3 linked regions of the Arabidopsis thaliana genome follow. The protein of the gene in region 1 interacts with the protein of each later gene in a pairwise test. Each region holds a gene or a part of one and is shown on either strand. Other genes may lie near its edges.

Evidence for each region. The genes of interacting proteins can lie anywhere in the genome.
Region 2: the proteins of bZIP1 (region 1) and BZIP25 interact in binary tests that used the Arabidopsis thaliana proteins (3 or more experiments, as listed by UniProt).
Region 3: the proteins of bZIP1 (region 1) and BZO2H1 interact in binary tests that used the Arabidopsis thaliana proteins (3 or more experiments, as listed by UniProt).

The regions. Positions count from the first base shown.
Region 1 is NC_003076.8:20,049,962-20,053,250, forward strand, and holds bZIP1 (basic leucine-zipper 1), read left to right. Parts: upstream 1-1,867; 5' UTR 1,868-2,183; coding exon 2,184-2,621; 3' UTR 2,622-2,774; downstream 2,775-3,289. UniProt on the Arabidopsis thaliana protein: Transcription factor that binds to the C-box-like motif (5'-TGCTGACGTCA-3') and G-box-like motif (5'-CCACGTGGCC-3'), ABRE elements, of gene promoters involved in sugar signaling.
Region 2 is NC_003074.8:20,217,356-20,222,414, reverse strand, and holds BZIP25 (basic leucine zipper 25), read left to right. Parts: upstream 1-1,917; 5' UTR 1,918-2,073; coding exon 2,074-2,529; intron 2,530-2,636; coding exon 2,637-2,697; intron 2,698-3,163; coding exon 3,164-3,350; intron 3,351-3,625; coding exon 3,626-3,701; coding exon of another isoform or gene 3,702-3,805; coding exon 3,806-3,931; intron 3,932-4,024; coding exon 4,025-4,330; 3' UTR 4,331-4,518; downstream 4,519-5,059. Other genes in the region: AT3G54630 (kinetochore protein), read left to right, coding at 1-1,220; HAG1 (histone acetyltransferase of the GNAT family 1), read right to left, coding at 5,040-5,059. UniProt on the Arabidopsis thaliana protein: Transcription factor that binds to the 5'-ACGT-3' box, especially present in G-box-like motif (5'-CCACGTGGCC-3'), ABRE elements, of seed storage protein (SSP) encoding gene promoters (e.g.
Region 3 is NC_003075.7:1,152,306-1,156,897, reverse strand, and holds BZO2H1 (bZIP transcription factor family protein), read right to left. Parts: upstream 2,945-4,592; 5' UTR 2,868-2,944; coding exon 2,457-2,867; intron 2,369-2,456; coding exon 2,287-2,368; intron 1,941-2,286; coding exon 1,754-1,940; intron 1,673-1,753; coding exon 1,597-1,672; intron 1,521-1,596; coding exon 1,395-1,520; intron 1,306-1,394; coding exon 956-1,305; coding exon of another isoform or gene 952-955; exon of another isoform or gene 835-951; coding exon 813-834; 3' UTR 542-812; downstream 1-541. Other genes in the region: AT4G02650 (ENTH/ANTH/VHS superfamily protein), read right to left, coding at 1-359; AT4G02630 (Protein kinase superfamily protein), read right to left, coding at 3,737-4,592. UniProt on the Arabidopsis thaliana protein: Transcription factor that binds to the C-box-like motif (5'-TGCTGACGTCA-3') and G-box-like motif (5'-CCACGTGGCC-3'), ABRE elements, of gene promoters. Binds to the 5'-ACGT-3' motif of seed storage protein (SSP) encoding gene promoters (e.g.

The DNA of each region.
Region 1 (3,289 bases):
TTTTTATTTGTTAAACTTGATTTAGTTCACGTTCTTAGATAAATGTGTTAGAATTTGAGAAGTTTTATTTCTGTTTTGTACTTGTCTTCTTAAAATTAGATATAGGGTTCAAAAAAAAAACTTGCATGTTTATTCTATCATTTAGTTTATACACATACATTTTAAACTATAAATTAGGATTCTAATATGACAACAACACTTTTAAAACAAACCACTAAGTTTCAACCACAATTTGGAACTAATAATTAAAAAAATAATTAAGAAAGTTGATAGAGAAATATCAATGGCAAAAAAAAGAGAAACTACAACACTCCCTAAAACCCAAAACATTAAATTTCAATATATCATGTATATGATTACAAATTTAACAAATTTCATAAAAAAAACAAAGAAATATGTAACCAGTAGTTTAAACAATAATGGTGGTAATAGTCAATTGGTTAAACCTATTTAACTCCACATTTTCTACTGGAGTTTGACTTTATTAAATCACGTTATTTGGATAATAGTTAGGGATTATCTATAGATCAGATCTTATTAATGAAAATATGTCAAACAAAAATAATAATAAATTTGTTATCTAAATAAAACTTTTAATATACTTTACCACGTTATAAACACTTAAAATAAAATAACAATTAACAGCAATTTACATGTAGATTTCTGCATTAGTTTTTTCATTTTTTTCTAGTTTGTTCAAAACCTCAAATATCAAGATTGACTCAGACCCGAACAAAAGGTCCGTAGAACCTAAACAAATTTCTAAAACTAGCCAACCAATGAAGTGCATCTACTTTTTTTTTATGAAAAATAATTATATTGAAGTATTTTATTTATCTGATAAATAAATAATGATATATAGTTTATCGGTGAGCAGATAAGGATCGTGTATTTTCAAGTATTATATTAATTAATAAATTATCGCCCATCTTCTATTGTTTTGTATTTTCATTTGAAAAGAAAGCAGGGCTGGCTTATCAATATATACAGTCTCTTTCTTTTAGTTTACTAAAATCATTTCAGATAAGACCCACACAAAAGTAATATCAAATGGAATTTTGCTTTCAACATGGATAATTTTCTTTAATAATAAAATTGTCAACCATGTTAAGCGTAATCTCTAAATCCCCAAAATTAAAAACACTAAAAATAGTCGGTCATTGCTCCACGTTTAACCTGTCCAATTCCAAAAGAACTTCGTGTTTCATTGACGATATAGTTTACGTACGTATGATTCTTTCTAAATGAGGTATTTTTGTCCCATTAGCAATTTAAAATTTAAAATGGTTGTGTAACTTTTTGAAATGCTTAGTAGTTAAAACCGAACTAAGAAGAAATAATGATCGGAACGTGTTTATGTCAGCTAATGCATTACCCACTGACATTAACTGATCCAGTTTACTGATTTTAGACAATCATACTCTATTTTTACTGGAGTTGCAGAAAAAGGGACTTACAAAACGATGAATTAAATTTGGACAAGTATATATACATAATTAGAAGGTTATAGAATCTAGTTTTCGTAGGATATTTCTTGAATTATCCTACGAGTGTGACAACTAAATGCACAACAAAACAACAATTTAAATGCTAAAAAGCAAAAATAGTAATTACTGGTCACCTATTAAGGAACAACACCAACACCTATTTAGCTGTTATGTCCTAATAAAAATAAAATAAAATAAAAACAATAAACCAAAAAAGTAAAAAATAAAAATGTTTGACTAAAATTCTCTTTCTTTTCCGATTCGTCATTCGATGAATCTTCCTTTCTTATACAATTTGGATAATCTTTTCTAATGTAAAAATTCGAGATTTTTTTTTATAATGTTAAATCTATAAATAAGAGCAACCTAAAACGAACAACTTCTCCCACTTTCCTTATTTTCGATCTTATCCTTATCTTCTTCCTTGTTCTATTTCTCTTCTAACTAATCTCTTCTCTTCTCTTAAAATCAAACGTAATCATAAATAAAGATCTTCTTGTTTAATTTCTCTTGATCCTCGCAAAATCACAGATTCTTGAAATTCTTTTTTCTTGTCTTGAAATTCTTGAGTTCTTGAGTTATGAAAAGACAATGGACAGAGTTATGAAATGATAAATCTCAACCAATTCCTTGTTTATCATTCTATATCAGTTGTGATTCTTCATTGGTTTTACGTTATCTCTTGAACAAAAAAACATGGCAAACGCAGAGAAGACAAGTTCAGGTTCCGACATAGATGAGAAGAAAAGAAAACGCAAGTTATCAAACCGCGAATCTGCAAGGAGGTCGCGTTTGAAGAAACAGAAGTTAATGGAAGACACGATTCATGAGATCTCCAGTCTTGAACGACGAATCAAAGAGAACAGTGAGAGATGTCGAGCTGTAAAACAGAGGCTTGACTCGGTCGAAACGGAGAACGCGGGTCTTAGATCGGAGAAGATTTGGCTCTCGAGTTACGTTAGCGATTTAGAGAATATGATTGCTACGACGAGTTTAACGCTGACGCAGAGTGGTGGTGGCGATTGTGTCGACGATCAGAACGCAAACGCGGGAATAGCGGTTGGAGATTGTAGACGTACACCGTGGAAATTGAGTTGTGGTTCTCTACAACCAATGGCGTCCTTTAAGACATGAGATTTGTGTATTAGTGTGTGTTTTACTTTGGTCATTTTATAGTTTTTGTAATCTTTTTATATCGAATTGTTTCTTCTCATTACTTTCTGAATTCTGATACAATTGCATATCTTATTGTTTTCAACATTTTCATTTAACGTTATATGATTTTCGGTGGTTAACCCGAAAGAAAAAAAAAAAGTTTTTTTGGTACCTTGCATGTAAATGGCAGAACTGATGAAGTAATCAAAATTGAAGCAAAAAGTGGGGAAGTAGTATATGTTCTGGTCATAATTGAGTATTACCGATAAAAATTGCTTTGGTAACACGATAACAATTTTTTGTGTCAAATTTTTCAATTTTATGAATAATTCAAAATAATATAGGGCTTGAATGGTATGTGTCTTATTTGCATGTTCATGTGTTTCAAAACGTGATTTTGCCGAGTGTATACCATTCACAATAATAACCACGGAGTGATAAACCGTGAAAATTAATAAGCTATTTTCCAATCTATTTCGCATGTGTTAAATGTATAACTAACTAGTTTAGACAAAGTCATTTATTAAGTAGCTTTTTGGCGTGTTAAGTTTATTCCGTTTTGAATTTTGTCGTCCTGGTGATTCCGCTATTGTATTGTTCAGTTATTCAACTAATGTACCAGTCAAGTCTTTACCCCTTAGTTTAGA
Region 2 (5,059 bases), on another chromosome or scaffold:
TAGTATCTAATTCCACCTCCGTACCCGAAGATAACTCCATGAATTTCTTCGCGATTCAAAGCTTTGGTCACTTCATTCGCGGCGAGGATGATAAGGTTAACGATTTAGATTCTCAATTTTTGGGTAAATTGGAAGCGGAGAAGACTAGCGTCGCTGAAACTATCTCTGGTTGTGAGAAAATCTCCGGTGAATTGGAGGCTAAACTTGAGTCACTGAGGAAAGGTCCTTCGAAGAAAGAGTCTCTGGAGAAAGTTAAAGCCGATTTGGAGAATGACGTAAACAAGTTCCGAACTATTGTTGTGGAGTATACTGATAGGAATCCAGCGATGGAGAAAGTTGTGGAGGAGAAAGCTAAGGAGCTCAAAGCTAAGGAAGAAGAGAGAGAGCGAATCTCTGTAGAGAATAAGGAGTTGAAGAAGAGTGTGGAGCTTCAGAACTTTAGCGCGGCGGATGTAAATAGGATGAGAAGAGAGTTACAAGCTGTGGAAAGAGATGTTGCGGATGCTGAGGTTGCTAGAGATGGTTGGGATCAGAAAGCTTGGGAACTCAATTCACAGATTAGGAATCAGTTTCATCAGATTCAGACACTTGCCATTGACTGCAACCAAGCTCTCAGGAGATTGAAGCTTGATATTCAGTTCGCTGTTAACGAGAGAGGGGAAACACCTGCAGCGGTGATGGGTGTGGATTATAAATCGGTGGTGAAGCCAGCTCTGTGTTCGTTGTGCGATGGGATCAAAGGAAGCTCGGCGGAGAAAGTGGAGGAATTGGTCACTTTACAGCACCATAAGTCTGAAATGGCTTCGAAGATCGAATCCAAAAGGAGTCTTCTTGGGTCAATTCAGTTGCAGATCAATGACCTCGAAGAAAAGATGAAGTTGGTGAAGAAGGAAACTCAGGAGTTGAGTACAAAATGTGATTTGGAGGCGAAAACATTGGTTGAGAGTGTGAAAGCTGAGGCTTTGAATCTGGAGGTTGTGGAGAAAGAAGCTGCTGAGTTTGTAAAAGCTTCGGAGCTTAGATTGCAAGAAGCAGTGAAGGAGAGTGAAGAGGAGGTCCAAGCATGTGCTGCACAACTCTTTGCACTTATCGATTCGATATCGAAACAGAAAGAGTACATGGATTCGAAGATATCGGAGATCAAAACCGGTGTTGCTGATACTGCCAGTGCTGTTTCAGAGATATACAAAGCCAACTTCAAGAAGAACCTTGGTATCTAGTGGTTGGAATCAACTGAGCCAAGAGATTGTTAAAAGCGTGAGTAATTCCTATTGCTTTTGTTCACATAGTCGTATTAGCATCTATGTGTGGTATGTATGAGTTTTCAGGATGGATAATTGAAATTGCTCAGCTATGCTAGTAGTATATAAATATCTGTGTTTCTTTTTTCATTGAAACTTAGATGATAGGCACATAATCTAATATTCACAATGTTTAACTCAAAGAACGCTGTTATGATCAAGTTACATAGGATTTCCAATGAATACACTCTTACCTTCTTTTTACCATAAGCTGACTTAGGTGACTTTGATTCTTATTCGGTTTATCCCCTCGGGTCTCTTGAAGTCAGGCTATGTTTGCAGCTCCTCGGTTGTAACCTCTTTGGGTTACCACTTTCTTCAGTCTCACTGAGTTCCTCCTTTACTTGTTTAAAGCTTGCTTACTCATGCATCATATGTGGTGAGAATATCTTACTGATGATATGAATAAGAGAGAGTAGCTATCAAATCAAGAAAATGAGAGGAAGGAGTTAAAAAAGACAAAGGAAACCTAAGCTGCTTATCTATAAAGCCAACACATTATTCTTACCCTTTTGCCCACAAAGTAAATGACACACATCAACTAAAGTAGAAATTTAAAATGCCTTTGAATGCCTTAATTTGCATTTTTATTAAATTATTAACAGAAAAAAGATATGTTGGTTAGTACTAATCCAATACAATACAGAAACGTGTCAAGTATCCTAATCAATAATGGCGGCTCCACGTAAGACAAAAACAAATTAAGGAAAGAGCGAGAGAGAGAGAGAGAGAGAAAAAAGAAGAAGAAGAATTTGAGGCGATTGGGTAAGCGATGCACATCGTCTTCTCTGTCGATGATTTGACCGAATCCTTCTGGCCTGTTCCCGCTCCGGCGCCGTCGCCGGGATCGTCATCGACTCCGTCACCGACGCAGAACGTGGCGGATGGGATGACTCGAAGTCAATCGGAGTGGGCGTTCCACAGGCTTATCAATGAGTTGTCTGGTTCCGATTCGAGCCCTACGACTAACACAATCGAGAGATCACCTCCACCGGTTCAGTCTCTTTCGAGATTAGAAGAAACCGTTGACGAAACCGAAGATGTTGTTGAGATTCAGAAACCGCAGAATCATCGACGGCTCCCTGTTGATGATCAAGGGAAGAATCGGAATCGTGCTCCGTCGTCTGATCCGGTTGATTCTTCAGCTCCTGTTGTTGTTGATCCTAATCAGTATCATGCGATTCTTAAGAGCAAGCTCGAGCTTGCTTGCGCTGCTGTTGCTCGTCGTGTACGTCTCTTAGATCCATTTCTTATGTGTATTCAGATTAAAGGAATTGATGATTTCAACAATAAGGAATGTTTGGTTGTGTGTTGATTTGATATGATTTTCTTCAGGTGGGAACTGTGAAACCGGAAGATTCGAGTGCTTCAGCTAGCAATCAAAAACAAGCTCAAGGTCACGTATCGTTGCTTTGTTTTGGTTTTGGTTTTTTGACTCTCTCTAGCTTTGTCTCTCGTCAATGTCAATGTTTAGATTACATAGAGAGCAAACATTTCATCGAGATTTGTTTGTCAATTTGATTAGACAATTAATTAACTGCTAATCTCTCTCAGTAAACTCAAGACTTTAAGGGAATTTGAAGATAAGTAGGCTTTGTTTTGGAGATGACAGCTTTCTCTGTGTTCATTCATATTTAATTCTGTTCTAGTCGAGTCAATTTTTTCTCTGAGAAGAAAGAAACAAGGCATACGTAGTATTATGCGTTTAGATGAGAATTCTTAGCCTTTTGACTCTCCATTCTTATTAGTGTAAGTTAGTGCATTATACTAGATAGCTTTCTTATTTCCCGCTTCTTGTGATATGTACCTGGATGAAATGTTTTTCAGTTAGTGGATAATGGGATTATTTTGAAATTATCTAGGCTCCATTGTGGCACAAACCTCACCTGGTGCTTCATCTGTTAGATTTTCTCCCACAACAAGCACGCAAAAGAAACCTGATGTTCCAGCCAGACAAACTAGTATTTCATCACGAGATGATTCTGATGACGATGATCTTGATGGAGACGCAGATAATGGAGATCCTACTGATGTGAAGCGTGCTAGGAGGTACAAATCTTGATTTTTGTACCTTAGAATGTTTCTGGTAATCGTTCTGAATCTCGAGGCTGATAGATATAGACATGCTTTTGGGAAAAGGCTTGTACCTAATAGTTTCTACTTTCTACTCTCTCTAAAGAGAAAGAAAGAACTGAAATCTAGTAGAGGAATGTTTCAGTCAATTTTATGTTGTGACTGTTGTTCTTAGGAAACAGTCAGGCTCTATATATTTAACTTTTTCGAAGGTCATCCTGATTCATTTTTTTTTTTTTGTAATTACCCAGGATGCTCTCAAACCGAGAATCCGCTAGGCGCTCTAGGAGAAGAAAGCAAGAACAAATGAATGAATTTGATACACAGGTTCGGTCTTTTATTAGTTGCTCATACATTTATACATTTCTCGAGTCTTTCTTACTTTTCAACAGTCTTCAGGGGTTTATAGGTAAAGTTTTTACCAATTGTAGGTAGGCCAATTAAGAGCCGAGCATTCAACTTTAATTAATCGTCTTAGTGACATGAATCATAAGTATGATGCAGCTGCTGTTGACAACAGAATTCTAAGAGCTGATATCGAAACTTTGAGAACAAAGGTACTCTTGTGACTCACGAGTGTTAAGAATTTAAAACACCCAAGATTATGATTTAATAACTAAGTTAATTGCATTGATAAAAAACCTGTGCAGGTTAAGATGGCAGAGGAAACTGTGAAAAGAGTGACAGGAGTGAACCCTTTGCATTGGTCAAGACCAAACATGGGCATACCATTCAGCAACACACCGAGTGCTTCCTCTAGTATTCCGCCAAACTCTAACCACATTTTGAAACCAGCAAATTCAAGTACCAACACCAGTGCTGGTTTAGCACAAAATCAGAGAGTGGAGACGGCAAATTTCTTGCCGGAACAGGTGAACCGTGAAGGCATGCAGAATCCATTTGCTCCTGATTCTAATCTGTATGAAACCCTACCCCATTGGAATCACAAGCATTAACCAGAAAAAGAGTCATTGGTTTTGTGATTTTGATTGAGGTAACTATTGTCTGTATTTTTATTTACTGTATGACTCAGCGACGGTAAACTCTTAATATTATATATATGATTGGACATGATGGAAGAATGTATAAGCTATCGTGCTTCTAAGGCAAATCGAAGTTGAAATGGTCGTAGACGTAATCACGTAAACATGTGCAGCAGCGTAAGCGTATAAACACAAATGTATCAATAGTTACTTATGGCAAACGTAACCGTTTTAACGAAATGTTGAGCAACAACAACTCACATTCATCAGATTAAAGAAATCTGTGCAGCGTAAGCGTGAGTGTAAGCGTGTAAACACAAATGACCCATGACGCTCATTCTCTTCACCATTGTTGATCCGATCAAAACCACCGAAACTGGTGATCCCGTTCGATATCAAAATTTGGTTATGTGATTTTCATCAGAAACATTTAGTAAAATGAAATGTGTCTTTACAGTTGGAAATAAGCTTTATAGAACAAATTTAACCTACAAAGTAAAAACTTAAACATTCTGAATCTAACTAAATCAAATATTTACCTATCCGAAAAAAAAACATACAAACAATTAAGCTCCAGTATACATGGGCCTAAAATAGTATACATGTATTCCCAGTTCCAATGAAAGTATCTTAAAATGAAAGATCTAGAAAATGATATTAATATAACCTCTACCATCTTCTTCTATTGAGATTTAGCACCAG
Region 3 (4,592 bases), on another chromosome or scaffold:
AATCTCGTTCCTCGTCTCGTCGCGAAGAAGATCTCTTGCTCGTAGGCTCTATCTCCATCTGTTAGCAACCGTTGGATCAAAATCAAGGTTTTGAGAGCAACCGACCAGTTCTTGGTCTTGTTGAGCCGTCGCGAGAGAGTTGCCACACAAGCGCTTACGTAATTGCGTGAGTAAGAAGTTAGGCATAAAATCTCTCTAATGTACTTGTCCTCCGCTGGATAGTCATCATGTCGCGTCGCTTTCACGACAGCTATTTCGAGTTCCGTTAAAGAACTGCTTCGACCACCGACTTTGGCTAATCCTACGCTTGTTTGATCTTTCACGGCTCCTATGGCACGTTTTAGCTTACTTGAACCCATTTTGACTTACGTACGCCGTTAAACAGAGGAAGAGAGAGGAGAAAAAAATTGGAAGAACGACGACTTTTTTCTTTCACTTGTTTGTCGTCGTCTCTTTTTCTCCTCTGTTTTTTTTTTTTGTGTTTTCTGACGAGAAAATGTGAATGCTTGATCGATCTACCATGGAAATCGCCGAGGTTGTCGGAATTTAATGATAGGGGAAATTAGTAAAGCCATGTGAGCTATCTTTTTTAAAATTGGATAAAAACAGATATACACTCTGTTATTAGCTATAAATAGAAAGACGATTCTCAAATAAGAATCTTGTAATGTTATAAGACAGAGCTTATATATATATATAAGCCATGAGACTGTATTTTCACAAGATGTTTTCTCATGATTCGTAACTTAATAACACTTACAAATTACAGATGCATAGACATTAATATAGTGCGAAACCCGCTTCTTGTTTGATCAGTCCACGCATTTTTTCGGCCTGTAAAATGAGCAAAAAAAGGGGAGACAGGAATCTGATATGTATAAACAGGGATCATAGTACTTCAAATGGTTTTAAATTGTTCAATGGTCTTAAAAGAAAGAGCCATGTTTTAGCTTACCATGCTGAATCGTTCTGAGGTTCGGTATTCCAGCCATACGGGTTGGCGCTTGGAGTAACATGGTGATTTTGCCCATTTCTAATTCTCTGCAAGGGAGAGCTGGTTTGGGATGGAGGAGCAGCGAAATTGTTTCCGAGTCTTGGAGGTAGAATGGTTGGGATCCCGATGTTTTGGTTTGACATATGGTTTAGGTTTGAGTGTGGTTGATAAGCTGGAATAATGCTAGAAGAATCCATCCTGTTGTTACCAGTTATTGGCATTCTGTTGTTGTTGTTATGTCCACTTGATCTTCCGAGAAGCATCGGATTCATTCCTGTTACTCTCTTCACGGTTTCTTCCGCCATTTTCACCTTAACATAACATGGGAGTTACTAAAACTGTATACAAAAAAAGGGTAGTTCAGAAAAAGGAGAGGAGGATAATACTTAAGTCTTCTTACCTTAGCTCTTAATGTCTCAATGTCAGCCTTTAGTATTCTATTGCCAACAGCAGCCTCGTCATACTTGTGATTCATGTTGCTCAGTTGTTTAAGAAGTGATGAATGCTCACCTTTTAGATCATTAACCTATCAAAATACAAATTAGGTCTCATTAATATCCTTCAACACAAAAATGAGGTGTTGAGAGGATACAACACAAAACCTGTGTTTCGAGGTCACTTGTTTGCTCCTGCTTTCTCCTTCTAGATCGCCTAGCTGACTCACGATTTGACAGCATCCTACAAATATTAAAAGGAAGAACAAGGCTCTATAAATGTAATCTTCAAACGACAAGAAATTGGAGAAAAAGTAATGATTACCTTCTAGATTTTTTAACGTCCTCTGGCTTCAAGGAACCGGTGGTTTCATTCTCTTCATCAAGGTCCTCGTCATCAGAATATTCTCTCGACGATCCACTAGTAACCTGCTTCATTGATACACCAGTTTTTTTCACCTCAGCTGGTAAGGAAGAAGTAACACCAAGTTCTCCTGGGGTCATCAAAGAACCTACCACGATTAAAACTTACTATGTCTAAGACTCAGAAGAGATATCTGAAAGAGAAAGACGAGCGCTGAAATAATGATTTCCCATATATTGAACTAACCACCAGAACTCATCTCAATCCCAAGCTTATTGTTCTTCCAGAAAGCAGTTTAATTTCAATGAGAAAGTCAGTCACAAAAAGATTGAAACTTGACGGATAAAACTAGGCGCTTGATCCAACAAAAGTACCATTTTCTATTTCTAATTCCTTAACCTAGGCATCTAAATTAACAAACACAGAACAGAGAAACGAATCTGCAGGTTTATCATCGCTCATCTATCCTGGTGAAACTAAGAAGAGACTCTTACCTTGAGTAAGAGGACTGGATTGAACTGGTTGAAGTTGAGTTTCTGGAGAACTAGTCGAATCTTCAGGCTTCACAGACCCAACCTAAGAAGAGAACATCAGAGCTTCAGATTTAGATCAAAACGCACAAATTACACATATAGATAAGAAAAATAGAAGATTAACAACACACCCGAAGAGAAACAACAGTAGCGCACTCAGTCTCAAGCTTGTTCTTAAGAACACGACGATAATCATCGGAATCAACAATCACCGTCTTCGTCGTCATGGGAGCAGCACAATCCAAATTTCCCGAATCGCGATCACGAAATCGACTATCATCCTCGAAATCATTCTGTCCGGAAACAGAAGGAAGAGATTGCGCCGAAGAAACACCGACGATCGCGTTGTTGTTGTTACCAAGTGGCTCAGAGCTCACCGCCGACGAAGAAATCTCTTCGAGAAACATCTCGAAAGTCCATTCCGGTTGACTCTGGCTAACTTCATCCGCCGTAACAGGCTTAGAAGAGTCGGGATTGAGAGGAATCGGAGGAGTTTCCCAGAAAGGATCGGAGAAATCGTCAATGGAGAAGATACTGTTCATCGCTCGCTCTCTTTTTCACTTTCTGATTCTTCTTTTTTTGTCGGTACTTTGCCTATTTGCATTTAGGTCCACCCACACAAGTATATTCTCTTTTTTTATTACGTACAATAAAATAAACATTTTTTCTTACACATTTCTGTTTTATTTCTTTACAATATTCTTTGAATAGTTTTTATAATTTAAATATCTATTGTATAACGTCCACTAATGTTTACATGAAAAAACGTAACAGTTTTTGCAAACATTGTTATTTAATTATTCTTCAAAGTTTGATTTATTCAATGAACAACGAAGTTGACATAAAACATTAGATTATATTTTAATTTATAAAAAAATACTATATTATACTGGTCATTAAAAATTTATAAAATGTCACCAGAAGCTAAACAAATAAATCACTAAGCTATATTACAAATTTACAATAGACAAGCCTAAATTATAAAAAAAAAATATATGGAGTTTTTTAAAAATCTAAATTTACCACAAAAAGCTTCTAAAAATAATTAACGAACTAGATCATTTTTTCGCGCCATATGTAAATTTAAACAGTCATTTTCAATTTTCATATATATGGAATTTACTCTCTATTTCTTTTTGACCTTAACATAGTGTCACCAATACCACAAATCACCACTATGTAGGCTATATTACAATAGAGAACGAACCAAAAGAATACAAAAAAACAAACCATATATATATTTTTCAAGCAATCCCCAGTTTTAATTATTGCAAAATTACAAGAATCTACACACATTTTTTTTTTTTTTGTGAAAGGGCTAAGAATCTACACACATAAATATACACACACAAGAAAAAACTTCTAAAAATAGTAATACAAAATTATAATGCCAAAGCTTCTTTCTTTTTTACTAGTTCTGCTTATTCTCCAAAGCTAATTGGTCATTGTTGATCAGAACAGAATTACCACTCTCATCCTCTGATTCATTCACATTTGTCTTCCTCCGCGGTGACCTTCCCTGTTCTATTCCTCCTCCTCCTCCTCCAGAGTTTCTCCGATCATCTTTAGAGACCAAGTCCTCAGCTTCAAGCATATGAATGATATGACCCATTTTTGGCCTCTTTTGAGCATTAGGATCAACACATCTTAAAGCTACCAAAAGGGTACGCTTCAATGACCTTAACGACGGTTTATCAACCATCCTCGGATCCAAAACTCCTTCCGCATCTCGATTCGTCACCAATCTCTTCAACCATTCCACAAGATTCACTTCTCCCGGAGCCCGGCTATAATCCACAGGACTTCTCCCTGAAATAATCTCCATAACAAGAACACCGAAGCTATAAACATCGCTCCTCTCATTCAACATTCCGGTACTCGCGTATTCAGGAGCCACATACCCAAACGTACCCATCACACGAGTAGTCACATAGCTCATCTCCGAACCCAAGAGCTTAGCTAACCCAAAGTCAGAAACTTTCGAGTTCCATTGCTTGTCAAGCAAGATATTACTCGATTTAATATCTCGGTGAACAACTTTAGGCTCAAGACCTTCGTGTAAATACATTAACCCTTTGGCTGTTCCAAGAACAATGTTCATCCTAATCTCCCAAGTAAGAGGACTCTTAAACCCCAAACCACCACCATGAATCCATTGTTCTAAATTCCCATTATCAACATACTCGTAAACTAACATCCTATGAGCTCCTTCAACGCAATAACCAAGCAATCTCACCAGATTCTTGTGTCTTACGCGTCCAATAGCT